3 linked regions of the Schizosaccharomyces pombe genome follow. The main gene of each other region encodes a partner of the protein of the gene in region 3 in a complex. Each region holds a gene or a part of one and is shown on either strand. Other genes may lie near its edges.

Region 1 (6,894 bases), 430 kb from region 3:
TTTGATGAATGTTGAAGCCACATATTACATGTCCATGTTGGAAAGACAAAACAAATTCTGGTAATTTGTCTTAAGTTTTTACAAAGTAATAAAAGTTTCAACAAAAATAAATAGATGCCACAAGGTAACGCTTATCTTTGTTAGTTAAACATTCAAATTAGAGTATATAGCAATTTGAACAGATGTAATTCGTTCCTTTTTTTTTTTAACCATGATTGTTTGTTTTCGACTTTGAACCTGGAGGTTAATAAATATTTATTATTATAAAGACTGACATTAACACGATTCAGTACCTTTATGGTATCTTAAGGTGATCACTTTCTATATATTTTTAAATGAGTTTGTAATGACATGGTGCAACAGAACTACATAAGATATTCATCAATCACATTTTTGACGTTCAGAAACCATTTGTCGATATCTCGGAAGATTAATTCCAACAGCAGATCGTATTAACAAGACATCCACAATACCATCCTGCCGCTTTCTCCCAACAATGTTGAGCCACTCATGCTTTTGAATAGATACATCAGGTAAAACTACTGTAACATCACAAGTCACGCTGCTTGATCCATCAATCAACCGTAGAATGCCATTCTTATATGATTGCACGCATCCTAAAAATCGAAGTTTTTGGCCGTCCTTACAATCGTTAATTTGATTAATGAAGATAAGTTTAGCACTATCCATCAGCTGCTAAATATATTGTAAAAAGGAGAACAAGGAAAGATGAGGGAAGGTGGTATAGTTTGTGTTTGGAAACTGGGTAATCGATTGAAATATGAATTTCGTAAATGAGCGACTTAAGATCGCAGCTTTAATTAAGAAAACGTAGTTTGACTTTTTCAAAAGGAAAAATTTGCATTAATCCTTAAAATGTGCAGAAAGACTACACTCTCGTTTGCAATAGTAAAAGCAAAATCTAATAATCGTATAGTACTATCAGTGAGGCATATTAGATTGATAAATAGACCAACATTTCCATTATTATTATTTATGAATTGGTTTACTTGAGCAACTCCACAAAAAACGCAAGCATGGTTCTTTTGATTAGTTTTTATAAATTAAGTCAGATGGAATATAAAAAGAGAAAAATAAATGCTTTGGCCGGGAATCGAACCCGGGTCGAATCGATGGCAACGATTCATTATACCACTAAACCACCAAAGCTTCTTGAAATATCTTGTAAACTTGTATAATATAAGTAGCTATTAACGATAACGATAATTATTTATTATACCATTATAATATTGATTAAAATCAAGCAGAGAATTGGAAACATGTTCTGATGTAGTTGTTTAAGGCCTTATAAGAAATCAATAGTTCTTGTAATAAATTCCGATTTTAGTTATAGGGCCAATGCGGCTAATATTCACTTGATAAATTGAAGCTGACTGTAAACAAAAGGTTACCCCTTACTTAACCATTTGATATTATAATTTACATTGCAAAAAATTTGGGTCAGTTTGAAAAGGTGTGTACATTTCCTAAAAATCTATGGAAAATTGAAAAAAATAAAATAAATTTAATTTAATATTTAAAATATCATGCTTCCAGTATTCAATATAATCGGTATTTAAATTGAACCATGAACAGATTAGAAATGGTTTAAAAAAAAAACAGCAAAACAAAATTGTATTGAATTTATCCTACAATCAAAATGCCGTTAACAATATTTTTTAGCTTGAATCTTCCGATTTCTCTTAATAAACCGTCAAAGTGCCAAAAACCAGTTTTAATATAACGAATTATATAATATACATTTAAGGTGCCATAAACACACTGCATTATACGTATTGAAACTAAGAGTGTGGATACTGTGCATATAGAGACTGCTAAACTCCAGGAAACCCGCATTTGGAGAGTAATTTCGTGTTTTTACTCGGAAAATTGCAAGCCTTAATACGATTCTTGTAAATTCAAAAGTTAGAACTCTTCCAAGTGATTTTTTGCGTGTTTTTTTGCTGTTTATTTTTTTTTTGCATTGAGCTCTTTTGTCACGTCGTTGCTATAGCTTTTAGGCTTTGAGAATCTTCGTTATAACTAATATTATTTGAAGTGTGGGTTTATCCAAAAGGCCCTTTACAGTTTTTTGTGTTATAACCTTTTCTCAAAAAAATTTAAAGCATCATTTCTAAAGCGACACCAAAATTAAAATAGTTGAAAGAGTAAAAACATGTTGTTTACAATCAAACCTTCATTTTTGAAGCCTGTAGGCTTCATTCAGACTCGGAATTTGAACCGGCTATACCCTAAACAACGTATTCCTAAGCGACCTAAAATTCCTATGGGTTCCAAAATAGCAGAGGTAACTGAAACTACATCTGCTTATTACAATCCACCAGCGTCTTCTCCAGATGTTAGGATTACTCCTCCTGTTTTTCGCTATGATGCACCTCCAATTCATCAGCGTGATACCTCACTTTCCAAAGAGTCAATGTTTCTCCCGCCGGCAGTTAGCCGAAAATCGAAAAGCAAAGGAAAGTTGAGGTTTTCTACTCATCAACTGAGTAGTGAAGATATCAAATCCATCCAAGACTTGAGGACGAAAGATCCGAATGCTTGGACAACTGGAACACTGTCTAAAAAGTTTAACACAACTCGGTTACTAATTTCACGAGTTTGTGAAGCTCCCAAAGAAAGGATTCAAAAAGTTGAAGAAAATTTTGAGGCTGAAAAACTTGCCTGGGGATCAAAGAAGCGTGAAATTCGCCGACAACGTGCATCTCGTCAAGCATTCCGTACATTGGAACGAGTAGCACAGGTTTAAAATAATTTAATAGTTTTTGGGATTCTAAAACTCTGGTTTTCAATAAAGCTCTGATGCACATGCGGAAGCGTTTTTGACTGCATTATTTAATGTTTCAATCACGTTACAAAATACTCGAGTGATTTGAAAGTTCCTTGGAAAATAATATTAGTTTTGAAGCTTTTCAAAAAAAACAGACATCTTCATTCTTCTTTATTTCTTAATTTACAAAGGCTCTCTGGCATTTTACGAATTATCCTTTACATTTCTATCAACATTTACGCACATTGGTCTGCATATCGCGAATTTTTGTCGCAACCTTTAAAATGTTATTATACAGGCACGAACTTGTTTTACATTTTTACCTCTCCCTTCTCATGTACATATTTCCTTTTTGGAACAAATGAGGAAATTTTTCATTTCAGCTTAGTAGGCTCGGAAATCCTCAATCATAGAGTATGTTGCTTTTGTAACACTCAAGCCAGTTTTTTTTTTTTTTTGGTTTTATCTTTTAACTATTACTGAGAATATACAATGGTGTACATAATTAATTGGGTCAGCGAGCAGTAAAAAAACATCTTTATTTCCTCTTGTACAGAGAGCCCTTTCGTTCAAACCTCAAGTGGTGAAAATAAAGATATTTTTTCGGCTTTTAAGCAGTTGCTATTTAAGATTTCCAATCGACATCAACCGTTTATAAACACTCACGAGATACTTACTTTTGCAAGTTTCCTCACCAGCCATCATCCATCCATCTCCTTAGGACAATTTGCATTCTACGGATTTCATTAATACATCCATCTCTAGCTACTATTTACTTATATTAAAGCTTTGTTTCGCCGTTTTCTACTTTTTTGAAGCTTGTGTGACTATACGTGCTCTTCTTTGTTGGCCCAATTTTCCAACGATCGTCTAAAGAAACATGCGACCTAGTTGAGGAATTTTGCTTTAAGACATTGTTTTTACAGACTCTAACAAGCTTAATTTGTATGGTGGACACAGCTTTGTTGTAATACTGCATACTGCGATTCTCAAATCCTACACTCCTCTCTCCTCTTCTCTCCTTGTTACTTAGTACCTCGAGAAGTTTTGGGGTGACATCAGTCAGACACAAGAATTATATGATGGGTGGGTGGGTTAATACGTATATGAATGATCTCATTTACGTTGCCGTATTGTGCTACTAAAAGTGTTATATATAGAGCAGTGGGAAGTAGAAGTGAGCACTCTTATTAACGATAAAGTTGTGAGTTGAACAAAAGCGACTTACTACTTTGAAATATTGTTTTACTTTACAATTGAACATTTACTAGTGTTCAGGAAAAATCTAATTTTTTTTCGTGCGCTCGATTGAATATTATATCAATCCTTTGTGTTGTACGGAGAAAACCGCTTTTATATAACCTTTCGATTTATTAATTTTTTTTTACTCGGTTAATTCACGAAATCCTAATCGAGCATCATGAATAGGCGTGTTACTCTTGGAGCCTTGGCCGCTGCTGTTGGTGTTGGTTATTATATGACTCGCCATAATCGTCAGGCATCTTCCAGATTGGAACAGAAGAATGCAGAAATCGTCAGAGCCGTGGAAAATGAGGGTCAACGATTTGACAAAGCTGTTGGCGAAACCACTGAAAAGGCAAAATCTTATCTCCAAAGTGGGAAGGAGAGGGTTGTCGATGAACTCGACAAACCTCGTGAAAACGTAAAAAATGTGTTGTCAGAGGCGCAAGCCAAGGGTACTGAACAAGCAGAAGCCCTTAAAAAGGGTACCTCAAAATGGTTTTAAATTGGAAATCCCCAATTCTCGCCATTTAGGGTTATGTGGCAATACTTTGAAAAAATACACACAGGGTTTGTTGTGTATTTGAAAACGTAAAGTGCCTAGCATTGGCTCGTTCTATACCTGCTATCCATTAAGTGTTCTTGTTAATTGTTCCAAACGTATTGCCAAACATTCCGGATCACATCTCGGCAAAGTCGGAGAGATTAAACGTTGTTAACGTTATTCTTTTTTATGTTATTATTAGTTTCTTCTCTCATAAACCAACTGAACCCAAATGATTAGCGATGACAAACAAACGACGATTCCATGGGTTGTCAAAAACACCCTCATAGAAGTTTGCTTTTTTTTGTACAGATAAAAGCGAATTTTTAATTGAAATAATGTTTTTCATGAACGCATAAATGAATGATTGAAATTTTTACATGCATGATTTTCCATTATAGACTGTAAAATGATATTTAAAGTAAGCGATGTGGACTAAGAGTAGTGATAATGCATATGAATACATGCATAGTTTGGATATTATAGGTTTTTCCTAGTTTCCATTATTAAAAAAATAAAAGATTGAAAGGAGTGTTTTGCTTTAATCTGCTCTAGTAGACAGAGTCAAAATTGATATATTTAATAATATTCAAGATGAAGAGATAGAACTCATCAAGTTCGCTTAGATATAACCTTAGCTTACGCGAAAGATGAGAATACTGTAATGCATAGTTTTTTGTTAATTTGAGACAACGAGAGGTATGGAAAATGCCCCTCAGGTGAATTCTCTAAATAAGCTAAAAAGTCAAACGCAAAAAAATGCATTATGCCGGTTTATAGAAGATAAACTTTTTTTTGCTGACAAATATTACGATGGAATTGTCGTTTTGACATTTCTTAGCCGTCGTACCTAATGCTTCTGACTGCTAATCAAGCTCTAAAAAAGCGCAGTTCGTTATACTTCTCTATCCCGTTTTCACCTTCATGACAAGTCCTGCGTATGTATGCATTCTACCATCTTCCATTATTCGCACTTGGGCGTACTCAGCTAAGCTGGTTTTGGCGTATTCATAAACGTGTCTATCCTTCAACAGGAAAATAGGTACCTGAAGAAAATAAGATGGGTCTCAAATTACTTCATCCTCCTAAACGTATGTAACGGTTTAGCTAGACATATAAACAAACTTGAGGATTCTTAGTTGGATGCTCGAGCATCGTATAGGTAGATTAAAACCGCAAAATAACTAACTTTATACAGCTTATGCGATGACCAGTGACCCTGAGTCGTATGCTTCGGTATGTGTCATGAAAAAATGGCCTATTATAGCTACGAATGTGATTGACGAGGTTTCTCGAAACATATCAAAGGCATTGGAGGCGGGAATGTCCGATAAAGCTGCTTATGTTACTCAAGGAAAGGAAATAATCAGCCTTCTTAATCAACTCAAATATGATCTTCAACACAATCGCCCTCTGAAGCCGCTTGTCGGTCAAGGGCCTGATATTGATGACTATAATGAGGAGTTGGAACAAGTTGGTCCATTGACTTGGGGCGATGCTCCCTGGCTTTATGCTGGATGCTATTTTTATCGTATCATGAGTCTTTTCTTTCAAGCCCGTTCTGAGTGGAATCGCCATGACCCCTTCTTTGAACAAAAGGACTTCACATTACGTTCTAGCAAGTCGGCCATTGAAGAATTTGCCAAAAGATATGTACACCTGAACAGTGAACTTGCTTCTATTCAAGAAAACAAGGATGACAAGGCTGCATACATGATTTTTGTAGAAATGGCGGAAATTTCACTTTGGGGCAACGCCATTGATCTGGGACTCTTAGTAAATGCTACCTACGAACAATTACAAAGCCTTCAGGGGCAAAAAGCTGTTGAGGAATCCCAGAAAAACATTTTAGTGAATGATTTCCCCAAAATTTGGTCGAAACTTTCAAAAGTTCGTCATGGTCGCATCGATTTTGTTCTTGATAATGCGGGATTTGAACTTTTCGTTGATCTTTTATTCGCTACTTATCTTTTGAAAACAGAAATAGCGGAAACAATTATTTTACATCCGAAGGATGTACCCTGGTTTGTTTCCGATGTCTTAGTCAACGACATCCCCCATTTATTTAACAGCTTAACTTCTTATTTTTCAGGCGAAGGTGTCCAAAAATTAGCCTCTGATCTTGCGGAGTTTCATGCGGAAGGAAAAATTGTAATTCGACCCAATCCTTTTTGGACTACTGCTCATTATTTTGGACGGCTACCTGATGTTGCTCCTAAACTTTTATCTGACTTAGAACAATCAGATATGGTCATCTTTAAAGGAGATTTGAATTTTCGCAAGCTCACCGGCGATTGTGAGTGGCCTCATACAACAC
Region 2 (5,814 bases), on a different chromosome or scaffold from region 3:
TATCTTTATGGTTTCCTGTAAACCACGTAAATGGTTTCCAGATTGAACAGCAGTAAGTGTCCTCCTAAGGTCAGTGTGCGAATAATCCACGTTAGAAGTGTATGTAATTGTACAACATGCAACAATAAGGTACAGCTTCCACTGAACTAATAAAAACTCAGGAAAATTATCATTTTTTACAGCAGACTTCAAGTTAAAGTTTAATTCCGAAGATTCAATACGCGATAATAATTGCATAGTAATACTCGGAAGTTTCTCACAAACAGTATTTCTAAGCAATGCCATAGTGGTAGGAAATCTTTCAAAACAAACCTTTATAAAGCGAGGAAATACATTGTACCATATTGAAATGTCAACGCCGCTGTTTGACGTAGCTAGTTTCAAAAGCATATCCTTGGTTCCATCGTTGATAAACTTGCGCAATCGTGACCTTTCAGCAGCAGTCGGTAAGTGACTTTCGACACTCAAAATTGAAGAATCGCAATCTTTCAGAACATCGACAATTGTCGGTTCAGAATATATGTCACCAACTTCAACTTTATCTGAAGAAAGCATCAAATACTCCGTATTTAATTGCTTAACATCATTAAGCAAAGCCACTGCAAACTTACGGATTCCAACTGATGGTGAAGATAAATGAAGTACACCAAGTGATTGAATTTCTTCAATTATCGTCCAACTTTGAATGTCATCATAATCTTGTTTTACAGAGGCAGGAGTATTGCTTTCAGAACTTGCACACGATTTATTACTAAGGACAGAATTCCTTTTTTCAATAACTGCTTCTTGCTGACTGATCCAAATTCTAATAACTTCATGGTAAGTTCGTAACAAGTACTCTGAACCCTTAACCAATTTCCGAGAAAGACAAGATATCACTGACTTCGACATTTTAAGCCCAGAAGAAAAGTATATCAAAGAGTTATGACAAACAGTATGGATTATTTTGTTTGAACAATTCAAACACTTAACATATGCATCAATTACACGTTGTTCTAATTTTCCCATGAGACAAGGAAACACTTTGAGTGCATTAATGTACAAAGCAAGCAAACTGGTTGCATTTTTTGAATCAAGGTAACAGTTGGTATTAGTGGAGAGCTGAAAAACGAGGAATAGAAGCTTTTGCGAAAGATTATGAACAAATTGTTGTAATGGAGTTCCGACGGCAACTTCATGTAAATCAACGAACTCAAATTCAATATATTCGAATATAGTACTATCCGATTTTTTGTACTTCATGTCGTGCAGAATGTAATAAACAGACCGAACAACAATCATTAATTTCTCAGGGCCAATATTCTCGGTAAAAGCATCAGTAGACAAAGGTGTTAAAATCTCTTTGATGACAAGCTCTGGAAAATGAGCACCGACTACACGCACAATTTGTGCATAACCATCCAATTCTTCTAAAGTGGCGAATGGAACCACGCTAAACTTTTTGCCAATCGAAAATCCCGATTTCAAAATATTAGAAATATTAGAATTCATTATGGAAGGTTCTTCCTTATACTGATTAGAGTAAGTCCATACAACACGAGAAAGATGGGGTAGACCGGTGTTCCTTAATCGTCTGTCTTTAACACGAAAAAAAGCAGCATCAAGGGAGGATATCCAATGCTTAAGGAAGAACTGTTTGGGAGAAAGACATAGAAGTGTACAACAAAAAGGGAAAAAAACATTCCAGTATTTAGTTTTCGTACACATTTTCAGTACTACAGGATATATTGTTTCAATGGTGCGCGACCACGCAGGAATATTCACCTCAAATGTAGCTCGACTGATTAATGGTCGAAGCAACTGTTCCATAAGATATGCATATTCGATTTTCAAGGCTGTGTTGGCTTTCATGAAAAAGGAAGTCAATGATTGCAAAAAAGCAATTGACTCTTCTAAAAGAGTTGTTGGATAAAGCTGCAAACGCAAATAACGCATTGCTCTAAGGAGATGGACAAGAACCGTTTCTTTTTGCCTGGAATCACAGCCAGACTTTTCCAAATGCTCAATCTCTTCAATAAAACGATCTGATACCATGACGAAGTTAAATCGAGACATACTTCCCACAAGGAATGCAAAACTTTCCCAATTAGCAAGACTGAAATAGGATGACGAAACTGGTAAATTTTTAGCGCTTAGTAGCTGATGAAAAACGCATTCTAATAAACAAGATACAGTGCTTTCTTCTAAGGCATTTGACGGTATCGTTTCAGCAATCTCAGTCAAGACACGGCAAAGTATATAGATAGAAATAGAACTCCTCCGCTCATTAACAACCCGAGGAGTACCACTTGAACTTGTAATATCAACACGAACTTTTCTCCAACACAATAGGGATTCAATGACGGCAACCGGTTTGCTACTAGCTAAAGCTACAAGAGCTTGAATACATCTGTCAAATTCATTATCTTCCCCCTTTTTAAGAAGGAGGATAGCTTCTTGCTCTCCAACGTTGAATCGTACAGGTTCAGCATTCTTACCTTCGTTGGCATGATAACGAGAAAGAAATGATATTTTTTGTTCAGAGAGTCGAACAAACTGGGTGAAAAGTATGTGAAGCGCGTAATCAACTGCCGTATGGTCCTGCTTCTCAGAATACAAAGGACCATTTTCGACAGGTTGATCGTGAGCAATTTCATTCAAGCTCATTCAGGTTGGCATTATATGGTTATCTACTAAATAGACGAACTTCAAAGAAAAGGAGTATGCAAAGTAAGGGTTTGAGAGCAATACCGCTAGCCTACAGAAAAGTGAAGAAAAAAGTGTATAAAAAAGCTATCTCGTTAGTTTTTATATTTAAGCATGCGTAAGCAAATTGACTAGCAATCGATTGTTAAAATTTAGGCGTGAATGGATTCAAAACTAGAAGTTTGTAATGGCTAGCACTCCGAACAATAAAACCTCTCAGCACACTGCAACAATTTTTGCACATAAAGGAATATAACGCACTGCGTTGTAGTAGGTGTGGTACTATATAGTAGGTGATATACTTAAAAGTCTAACTTCAAAATGCCCAAAATAATTTTTAAATGAAATGTAAAAAAAGAATAACCTTCTGTATGTTTGGTCAAAACTTTCTGAATTCTATGTCAGAAAAGATAATATGGTACAAGTTCAGTTTTTTTTAATGATTTTTAAACCGTGGCAAATGCGATTTTTACACGCTAACTTTTTGGAAACGAATTATAAATATTTGTTGAAAAAACTTGAAAGTTTAAGAACAACATATACAATGCTTAATTATCAAATTATTCGCGTGGAAAAAAATAGAAGCATAAATCAGTAGAAAAAGAAAGACATATACGCAAACTTGTATACGCCCAAGACAAAGTAACAAAATAAGTTATAAATTTAATCATGCATTCACATTTTTGAGCATTAGACAGTAATAAACTACGATGACCGTGACGGGAGTTTAAATAAATAATAAAAAGAAGAAAATGTTATTTCGTGCAACCTTAAGTTGAAGGAAATCCAAAGGCATTGATGCATGTAATTATTAGTATATCCTTTTGAAGTATCTCTAAATAGTGAGCATTGCAGGTATGATGATGAGAGTTTCCGCATGGTTTCATGAAACTTGAGCAGAATTAGCAGAAGTTATATACTTATTGACACGGCGAATTGTAGGTTCATCTTTGGGCCTTGGTAACGTTGTCTCTTTGTCAAAAACAACACCGACGTATTTCCTCCGTTTGCGAAGAGACACATCCATTTGAAAAAACTTAACATATCCGGAAACAAGAGAATATATTGTGTGATCTTTACCTAGACCGGTATTATCTCCGGGATGAAATTTTGTACCACGTTGTCGAATTAGGATCTCACCAGCCCTAACGAATTGGTTTTCAGACCTTTTTATGCCGAGACGACGACCAGCAGAATCACCTGTGTTTTTCGATGAACCACCGCCATGTTTAGTAGAAGTACGAATAGGAGGGAAAGTGAGAATATTTGATGCTTTCTTATAAGCTAAACTAGCTTTAAGTAATTGAAAATTGTTAACACGAATAAAAAGCCCTTGATTGATCATTGCACGGTGAACTTTGCATCAAATGAAGTACGTATTGTAAAAGAAAAATGTGTTAAACTGATTTGGCAAATAATTAGTAATGTAGAAGGATACTAAATATTAAAAAAATTATATCTTCGTCGAAATATTGGTTTATACTAAAAGGATGGATTCGTTGTAACCAATCTTCGAAAGTTTCTACCTTACATTTCCTTTATCCCAATTTACGAGTCGTGGTAATCGTATAAAATATTCTTATTTTACAATAGTGTAGCCTTACATTTTCTGTTTGAAATTCCTTACTCCTAATATCTCGCTAAAAGAGTACCATTACCTACAATTTACTTTGTTTATATTGGAAGCATGATCGCTAATGAAAAAAAAAGTAAAAGACACTAAATTTACGTCGACAATTTCTATCCTTCTTTTTAATCATGGAAAATTCACTTGGCTCTTCAATTCAAACAGCATTAATGACTGCATGAAAGAAATATAACTTTTTCAAAGTTTTAGCCTTTATTGTATTGTCTTTATTACTCAATGATATTCAATTTTACTTGAACTTTTAAAGTATGCAGCTGGAATCACATATAATAGATTTTTCTGTGCTACTAATTGATGTCTTAATGCAATTTCAACTGTTTTGTTCCTCAAAGCAAAAATTTATGAATAAAAACGGATGTGCTTCGTGTTACTAGTTGGTGGCAGGAACCAGCAAATTTCATTTTCTTGTGAAGAAACCATAAATTCTACCTTGACAGCGATATGCTTCAAGTTATACAGTATATGTGCTGCCTTAGTTCGCAGGATAATGTATCAGGATATTGTCAAGCTTTAACTGGATTTGATTATACTCGGAAACTTCCTTAGGTTAAAAACTTTTAAAATTGGCATAAAATCTTTTTCTCGTGGATCTTCCAGCCATAGCACGACAGGGAGTACTAATTAAAGTACGTTTTGCTTAGCTGTACCTACGTTAATGTCGATCTGAAGCTTTAAGCTACTACTTCCACCTAATACTGTCGTGTCGATCCCATAACGGTGTGTTATCGACGATAAATACATCAATGTACGCGTTTTTTATTTTATGTAATTTATTAGAATATTTTTTAAAAGTTGTAAAATTTTTTGGTATATATTTTTAAAACAGGGTGGTGTTGCATTTCTAAATATTTCTCCATGTATATTGATTATGCACTTTTCCGTTTTCCATGATATGCCAGCTTTTGTGGCACGAACATAATTCTATGGGATCAGGAAGAGAGAAGAAAATAAGAAAGCTAGGAGATAACTTTTCATTACCATATCTGAAATTTGATTGTGACCATAATGACAAAAATTATCGCGCGTCAAATAGGCCATTTGGACTTTCAACTGGACTGTCAGTGCAGTTGAATGCTTCGAACATGACTGATCCCTTTAAATTTTTGTTAGATAATTGGCATACAATTTTCAAAAATGGAGCAATTAAGCTTCTGCCACCTGAGGGATGGCAAATACCTGTTGTTCTTGATCAAGGCGCTTTTGAGTTTCAGTCAAAACGCCAATGTTTAAATAAAGGTTGTCTCAATTATGAAAAAAATTATGATTATTTTAAGAAACTTAAAGCATTTCATGAAAGTCGCGGTTTATATTTTTATCACCCACCGATTATCGGGAATCGCCCAGTTGATTTTTTGCGTTTGCGTAATGCAATCTCAAAGTTTACTAATTCCGGCTCTTCATTAAATAATGAAATTTTACATAAAGTCATAATCTATTTGCGTCTTGAAGATACTAAAGAAGTGAGGCAGGTTCTCACTCGT
Region 3 (7,752 bases):
CAAGCAATCCCGAATCATCAAAAATAAATTAAAATAATTTTAAAAAATAAAAAAAATAAATCGCAGAAGCACAAAGCATAATACTATTGATAAGTTCAATGTAATTTAATTTGGTTCATTACTATTTAAAACTAAATCCCCATCTTATAGTAATATAGAAATAAACAGAAAGTATATACAATTTCTCTACAGGATGAAAGAAAAAAAAACCCCCAGAAAATAAATGAGGGAAAAAAATAGGATATCAAATATTGATCGAGGAAATCACAAGCATTTCCTTCAGTGTAAGAAAAGCAAAATAGGGAAAATCGTAATTGTACATTGAAAGCATACATTTTTACAAAATTGTAAAATTTCTTTATTTAAATCGTTTCCAAAATGAACCGGAAATGTTATAAGCAAAAATATACTAAATAAATGAATTTAAAACTATTTCGGTACACTAAATAATCTCTTATAAATTTATTAAATTTAAATACATAATCTACTTAATACTAATCGTCTCAACGGAGGACAACGTGGCCGAGTGGTTTTAAGGCGTTCGCCTGCTATTCTGTAGCCCAGCGGATTCCCTTTGGGAGCGCAGGTTCGAATCCTGCCGTTGTCGGCATGATTTTTTTTATTTGTAAAATGAATATCGAAGAGCCTTAGAGAAATATGTTATAGGAATTTATCGAGGCAAATAATGAAATTCTAGTAAGAGAATAACCTGATGGTTAAAGCTTGTTTATTGATCTTCTTGCAGATTTTTTATTGTTTTCATGAGATGGATAATACTTTAAATGATTTATGTTCTATCTAAAGTAAAACTTGGCGAAATTTTAAGAAAACACCCATAAAGGTGTAACTATTAACTAAGAAGAGTTCGCAAGTCAGTGATTTATTTTTTTCAATTGTCCCGAGTGACTTAAGACACCGACTAGTACAATTTGTCAAATTTATTGTAAATCTATTTTTCTTTAACAAAAAGTGATTGCAAGCGCTTCTCGATCCTCAATGGATCAGTCGCTAACTGTGTGGAATAAGTACATTTCGCAAGTAAAAAAAATGGTAATTCTGACGTATCGAATGAAGGACATAACGTTAAACATAATTGAATACTAATTCTAAAATCTATATATGTTCTCTTTATTTAAACCGTACTACTAGATTGTTCCTCAATATCCCAAATAACACCTAATGGTTCTTTACCATTTACAACAATCAAGTGATTGTCGAAGAAACATTGCAAGTTGAGAAAAATGAATGAAGTAGAAATATTCTAATGTGCTAATGATTTATTGTAAAAATAAATCATATTATTTTATTTCTTTGACTTTCTTACATAGTCGAACACAGACAAATACAATTTTCGATTAACATTTCTAGAGTCTCACTTGATAGATTGTGCTTTACTTTATTTCATAAGTATTCCTATAGTACTCAAGCGTGCTTGGTATTATTATTGTAAACTTAATGACATTCTTGTTAGAACGACACCCCATTTGAACTTAGCAATAGTTTATAATTATGAAAAAAACAAAAACAAAAATTTTATTTTGATTCCCAAATTGTAAACAGACGCTTGAAACCCTTACATGTACCTGTGTCTGCTACCCATCTGTACATGAGTTGTATAGTAACGTCCAGGTTGTCCCATAACCAAACTCCTTGAACTTTGAAAGCGGCTCTTTATAGAGTCATTTTTTATTTCCTATAGTACTTGAAATAATATTATTCTCTAAAACTTTTCACTCAAAGAGCAGGACGTATTTGCTCCTTATATATGCGAAGGCGTTACTATTGACCTTTTTCATCGCCTTTGATCCACTTTTGGTTAAAGATTTTATCCTCCTTGCAAAGTTTTTTGTTTACTGTCTAAGCAATGCCATTTATCGAGTCAATGGCCCCTTTATCGCGCGCAATTACTCGCGGTATCTCTCAATTCTCATGCTACTCTAACACATTGGTTTTAAGAAGTTCCCGTAACTCTTCTTCATCATTAGTTAAACGAAGTTATGTATCCTCTCGTGTTTCACCCAAAAAGCCACAGCATAATTCGGATGCCACTTCTTCAGCTCAAAAAGTCGCTAATAAAACGCACACTAGTTCTGTCCTTCCAGGTACTATATTAAAGGGACTGTGTATAAAGGCGGGTGGCGTCGACCCTGTAGCTCGTGAAGATCATGAATATCCAGAATGGTTATGGTCTCTTCTGGATGAGCCAGCTCCCAATTCTAAGACTGCCCGAAGTCATGCTCGTAAAAGTGCCATTCGAGCGGCTAACTTTCTTACTAAAAAATAATTACCTTTTAGAATGTTTGAAACTCTTAATTTTCCATCTCCTCTCTATCCTTATGAGCATTTGATCCATTCTTTTTGTTTACTTTTTTTGAGGCATATGACATTCGCTACTTTACCATTTCCCAGAATCCAAAAATCATTTTAAAATAAAAATATATTAAATAACCTTATATCAGTGATATACATTTGTAGCATAAAAAAAATTACTACTACATGTCCTTCTTTAAGAGAAGCATATTCAAACCTCAACCTGCCAACCTTAGAGAAACCGGTATTGCCCAAACTGTGTATCGTTTATGGAATTTGGCTGACGAAAATGTATTCTAGAATTGTATTGAACGATGTTGAGAAAAAAGTTGTTAATCTTTTGAAAAAGACTGCTGATTTTATTGAATCTAAATCCAGCAGCAGTTCGTCATTGGAAGTTAGATTGGCAGGAGGATGGGTTCGCGATAAACTTCTTGGGCTTTCTAGTGACGATTTAGACGTTACGTTGAATAAAGTTACCGGTGTTGACTTTGCAAATTCAATATTTGAGTATGTTCACTCTCTCGACTCTGACTCAGTTATTCCATATAAAGACGCACTTGGCAAGCTAACTGTCAATCCCGATCAAAGCAAGCATTTAGAAACTGCTACCTTATCCCTATTTGACCTTGATATTGATTTTGTAGGACTTCGTGCAGAATCATATGATGATAAAAGTCGAATTCCTAGCGTTACCCCAGGAACTGTTGAAACAGATGCATTGAGAAGAGACTTCACGGTTAACACCCTATTCTTTAACATACGAACAGAAAAAATAGAGGACATTACAAAGCGAGGATATAAAGATTTGCAAACCAAAGTGTTGGTCACGCCCATTTCACCTCTCCAATCATTTTTGGAAGATCCCTTACGAATTTTGAGAGGCATTCGGTTTGCATCCAGATTTGAATTTACAATTGATCCGTCGGTCGTTTCCGCTATCCAAGATCCGAAAGTATGTAAAGCTTTTGAAAAAAAGGTTAGCAAGGAACGTGTAGGAGAGGAAATTGAGAAAATGTTGAAGGGTGCAAACGCGAAGCTAGCACTTCAACTGTTATATTCAACGAACACGTATCAGTTTACGTTCGATACTTTGCCAGCTGAAAAAGAATTTCAAATTCCAAAGGCATTGGAAGCTACCGAGTCTTTATTTCAGAGTCTTGCATTGACGTTTCCTAAACTTATGAAATTAAGTGAAGATGAGAAAATTGGGCTATGGCTATATGTTGCTCTAATTCCATGGTCTAGTCAAACTGTTATGGTTAAGAAAAAACAATTTTATATTCCTGCAATCATCGCAAAAGACAAGTTGAAGCTCAGAAGTACATATGTTAACCAGTTGAATCAGTGCTGCACATTCAATCCGATATTCGATGAATTAGTTAACGATACTTCCACTAAAAATTGCTCATCTATTGGCAGCTTAATACGACAATTGAATAAATCCTGGGAAGTCGTGTTTTTAACATCGGTCATATATAGTTGTTGTAAAACACCGGCAGCATCTGTATCAAATACATTTAGTTCTTATAAATCTCTATATGACTTTATTTATGACAAAAATTTACAAAATGCTTATAACATGAAGCCATTATTAGACGTATGTAATTCTTTTATTTCTGTTAACAATATTGAGCGAATAAGCTAACAATTTTTTAGGGAAAACAGATCATGAAAAATGTGGGAGTTAAGCCTGGCCCGCAGCTGAAAGAGACTATGGATAACATGATTTCCTGGCAATTTAAACACCCTGAAGGAAGTGTCGAAGATTGTGTTGCATACCTTCAATCCCTAAAAATATAAGAAAAGACAATCACTGTTTAGATAACTTAATCGCACAAAAGATTAAAAGAATAAAAGTCACCAGTAATCGTCGTCCTTTTTGGAAATTCGTATTTATGATATTTATGCTTAATTCAGAATGGATCCTTTCCTCTTATTATTACCAATCTCTAACCGGCTCTCGATAATCGTATTCGCTGGTGCTTGGTGTAATTTCGGTACAGTCTGGATAACAGTAGTTCAATTTGACATAGCATCTTGTGTTTTCATTATCATTATTAAAAAAACGAGTTCCACAAGCGGAACATTGCAAATTTAATTGATCAAATTCATCAATGATTTCGTTGCCTGTGCGTGCTGGATAATCACCTTCGCACTCATAAATGGCAGTGCAAGAACTAGCTGTATAAGAAGAATATCCATGGTAGATCAAGGATCTATTATACTTCATGTACGCGTTCGGACACGCACGATTTTCTCCTCGAAGCATAGGGCAAAGAAATGAGCCCTTACAGTTATTAGGATGAACCGAATTATCATATCCAAGCATGTTAAATAAACTTCTTCGATAGTTTGAAGTAATTCGAGAGCCTTTTGCTTCTGGCTCAAAGACAGTACTAAGATCACTTCTAATTGGGACTGCAATGCATATGTAAATGCAGATTCCGTATATGAATAGGAACAAAGTTAATTTCTCTGTTACACAACAAAATTTCCACATTCCTTCCGAAATATTAATATATATTAAATATGCAAAAGTGTTTAAAGCAATGCTTCTTATTTGCAATTATTCTTAATTAATTAATATTTTTCTTTTGGTTAAGGAAAGAATATGTAATATAAACAGTATTCTTTTAGTTGGTGTCAATATTTTTGTTTGTTTTTAAGATCGTAAACAGAGCTTTACAAACCCCAAAGCAAGGTGTCTTCATCTAGTGAAGCATCCGAGTCATTATTAGATAAATTGCTAGATTCTTTAACAGAAAAGTTATTTTTTTTAGTTTCAAACCTTTTTTGTTTCAAACGACGGATAAGATCCCTCGACTCACCCAATTTGCTTTCTTCTTCATAAAGAATATCATAAACTTCTGGTTCTAAATCATTATCTGCAATTTCATTTTCTTCATCCTTTTCGGCCAATAACTGTTGCTGTTGGAGTGTTATTTCTTGTTCAACAGCATTTTCCTCAATAATGCCAATCTCATTTTGAAAATCGTTCCACTCTTCTTCAATTAGTTCTTTATTTTTAGCAATAGATTCATCAAAAAAGTTTTCTGGAAGTGCGGACACCGCTCGTGTATCCTTAGGAGGTTCTGTAGATTGCTTTTCATTAAAATCACTTACTGCCAGCTCACGAGATTGATCACGACCTAAATTTTCAAATGATTTATGATCTCTCGTCTTCTGACGCTTCAGTTCTTGACTAGAGGCTTTCAGACCTCGCTTTTGCCCTAATCGCTCTTGTTTTACTTTCCTCAGTAACTCTCGTGCACTACTCATATTTTTGAAGCTCCTTTTCTAACAATATTCACATTTAATCGTAAAATATTGCATTCGAACTATAAAATAGCATGTATCCTTAGTTTTCGCAGATTTTGCACCTTTGCTATAACAAACTACAACACTGCTGCCACTTGCCAATAACCCATACCTGCCAACACCTTGTTTTTTAGAACTCTTGACGAGCTTTTGTGAGGATATTAAACACTTCAGGAACGACTTTTGTTTAGTTATGCATATATTTTAATCTCCTCAGTTTATTTAGTACGCATTCAATCACTTGTTATTCGAATTGCATGTATTAACCTTGAAGTACAGATGTCATTGATCAAAATACTTTTTATTCCCATAATAACGAAGCATGGTAAGAAAAAGCACTAGAAGGACGGCAAAAGCCTCAGAAAAACCTCCTGAAACTGTTGTTCGGTGTGTTTGTAAATCGCAAGAAGACATTGGCGATACGTGGGTTCAATGTGATGGGTGTGATTGCTGGCAACATGCCAGTTGCGTTGGATTAGCGGATAAGGATATACCTGAAAGCTACTATTGTGAAGTTTGTCATTCGCGAAGCGACGTTTCATCACAAGTACAAAATTCTCCCAATAAGGATGAAGAGCATCAGACAGCTGATTTACTTGCCTCTAATGAAGGGAACGAGAAAAACAATGAAGAAAATAATGTTGTATCTTCTGATTCAAAAGAGGCGATTACTAAAGAGTCAGGCGCTGAACTAGAATCATCCGAGCCTGCTTCGACAAATTCTAATGTTGGAATGACTACTAGGTCTGGTCGACAATCTCCTAGGACTCCTATTGGCTCCACGACACCAAAAAGTTCTCATTCTCCACCTTCAACTCGAAAACGAAGAGGCAGTGTTGGTACGACGGCTACTCATACCAAACGTAGCAAGAATGCACCAAAAACATCTCCTAAGGATGCTTCCAATGAAACTGCAGATCAGGAAAAGGAGCTTAGTTTACACACTTCTATCGATGAAATTCAAAACCCTGTTAGAAAAAGTGTTGCCAAAGCCTGGGTTTCCGTTTTTGAAAAAATCATTGAGAAAGCAAAACTTGAAGGTGTGCAAGGATTAGAAGACCTTAATTCTACATCCTTAGCGCTTCAGCTTGAGCATATTATGTTTATGGTGCTTTCGTATACAACTGATCATTCGTTAACTCCGAACAACAAATATCGAGAGAAGTTTCGTGCTTTACGATTCAACTTGGTTGATGACAAAAACCCGGCATTTCGAGCGCGCGTGTTAAAAAATGAAATTAGTTTTAACGATCTGGTCAACTTATCCAGTGAAGAAATGGCTAATCCTGACTTGAAGAACCTAGCTGAGGAAATTCGTCAACAAAGTACTGAAAACACAGTCATAAAGCAACATTTGATTGCTCCACGAGATCGTTTACTTGATGAAGATAAACTTACACAACAAGATGAACTTGGTATTGCGGAAAACGATGATGCGATGTTTCCCAAACCTCCTGGAGAGCTTGTAGCTCCAATTTCAATTGCAGAAGAAGAGCCCACAATTGATTCCAAAAGTCCTACTTTACCGGAACATAATCCTCTTTCTGAAGACGATACATCTAATGGTGATAAAGCTGCAAAAAGAAAAGGGAGTTTTAACGACACAAAACCGATAGTCAATGTCCCTTCCATCGTGGAAATAGATGATCCTACTATACTTGACATTGTAGAAGAGGAGCCTCTTGCGAGGAACGATTCATTTTCTTCTCCGTATTCGCCTGCTGAAGATATGGCTGAGGAGTCTGAGTTTTTTGGCATGAAAGAGAAAATATGGACTGGAAAAGTAAAAATGGCTACTGTTTCAGAGTTTCACGCAAATGCCTTAAATTTATTTGGTGATGTTAGTGCTAGTCATTTATTTGAAATTTTATCTGCGACAGCTTTAATTGAGGGTCGTATAAGTGTATCATCAGTTTTGCAGTATTTTCATGCTCTAAGAAAAACTCCTTCTAAAGAAATAATTGCGGTGCTATTCGTACCCACTGAGCAAAACTCACAAGGATTTGATATTTTGTACGATTATTTTGTGAAAAGAAATCGCTATGGAGTGTTACATTCGAAGTCTAATTCTGTGAAAGATGCATACATTATTCCTATGCCATCAGGAAACAGCGTGCCTGA

Evidence for each region. The genes of interacting proteins can lie anywhere in the genome.
Region 1: mrpl37 (region 3) and mrpl20 share a complex: the UniProt entries of both Schizosaccharomyces pombe proteins name them as parts of the mitochondrial large ribosomal subunit.
Region 2: mrpl37 (region 3) and mrp7 share a complex: the UniProt entries of both Schizosaccharomyces pombe proteins name them as parts of the mitochondrial large ribosomal subunit.

The regions. Positions count from the first base shown.
Region 1 is NC_003421.2:819,468-826,361, forward strand, and holds mrpl20 (mitochondrial 54S ribosomal protein mL58), read left to right. Parts: upstream 1-1,827; 5' UTR 1,828-2,176; coding exon 2,177-2,770; 3' UTR 2,771-4,010; downstream 4,011-6,894. Other genes in the region: telomere cap complex subunit Ten1, read right to left, coding at 382-690; SPOM_SPCC1393.12 (uncharacterized protein), read left to right, coding at 4,212-4,538; duf89 (cobalt/nickel-dependent phosphatase), read left to right, coding at 5,638-5,668, 5,776-6,894. UniProt on the Schizosaccharomyces pombe protein: Component of the mitochondrial ribosome (mitoribosome), a dedicated translation machinery responsible for the synthesis of mitochondrial genome-encoded proteins, including at least some of the essential transmembrane subunits of the mitochondrial respiratory chain.
Region 2 is NC_003423.3:2,858,595-2,864,408, forward strand, and holds mrp7 (mitochondrial 54S ribosomal protein bL27m), read right to left. Parts: upstream 4,167-5,814; 5' UTR 4,031-4,166; coding exon 3,569-4,030; 3' UTR 2,885-3,568; downstream 1-2,884. Other genes in the region: morphogenesis protein Mor2, read right to left, coding at 1-2,646; Lid2 complex histone demethylase subunit Lid2, read left to right, coding at 5,221-5,814. UniProt on the Schizosaccharomyces pombe protein: Component of the mitochondrial ribosome (mitoribosome), a dedicated translation machinery responsible for the synthesis of mitochondrial genome-encoded proteins, including at least some of the essential transmembrane subunits of the mitochondrial respiratory chain.
Region 3 is NC_003421.2:1,252,681-1,260,432, forward strand, and holds mrpl37 (mitochondrial 54S ribosomal protein mL54), read left to right. Parts: upstream 1-1,637; 5' UTR 1,638-1,864; coding exon 1,865-2,284; 3' UTR 2,285-2,546; downstream 2,547-7,752. Other genes in the region: cca2 (ATP/CTP tRNA nucleotidyltransferase), read left to right, coding at 2,600-3,910, 3,970-4,113; protein mug117, read right to left, coding at 4,253-4,813; SPOM_SPCC645.12C (uncharacterized protein), read right to left, coding at 4,996-5,592; bye1 (transcription elongation regulator), read left to right, coding at 5,954-7,752. UniProt on the Schizosaccharomyces pombe protein: Component of the mitochondrial ribosome (mitoribosome), a dedicated translation machinery responsible for the synthesis of mitochondrial genome-encoded proteins, including at least some of the essential transmembrane subunits of the mitochondrial respiratory chain.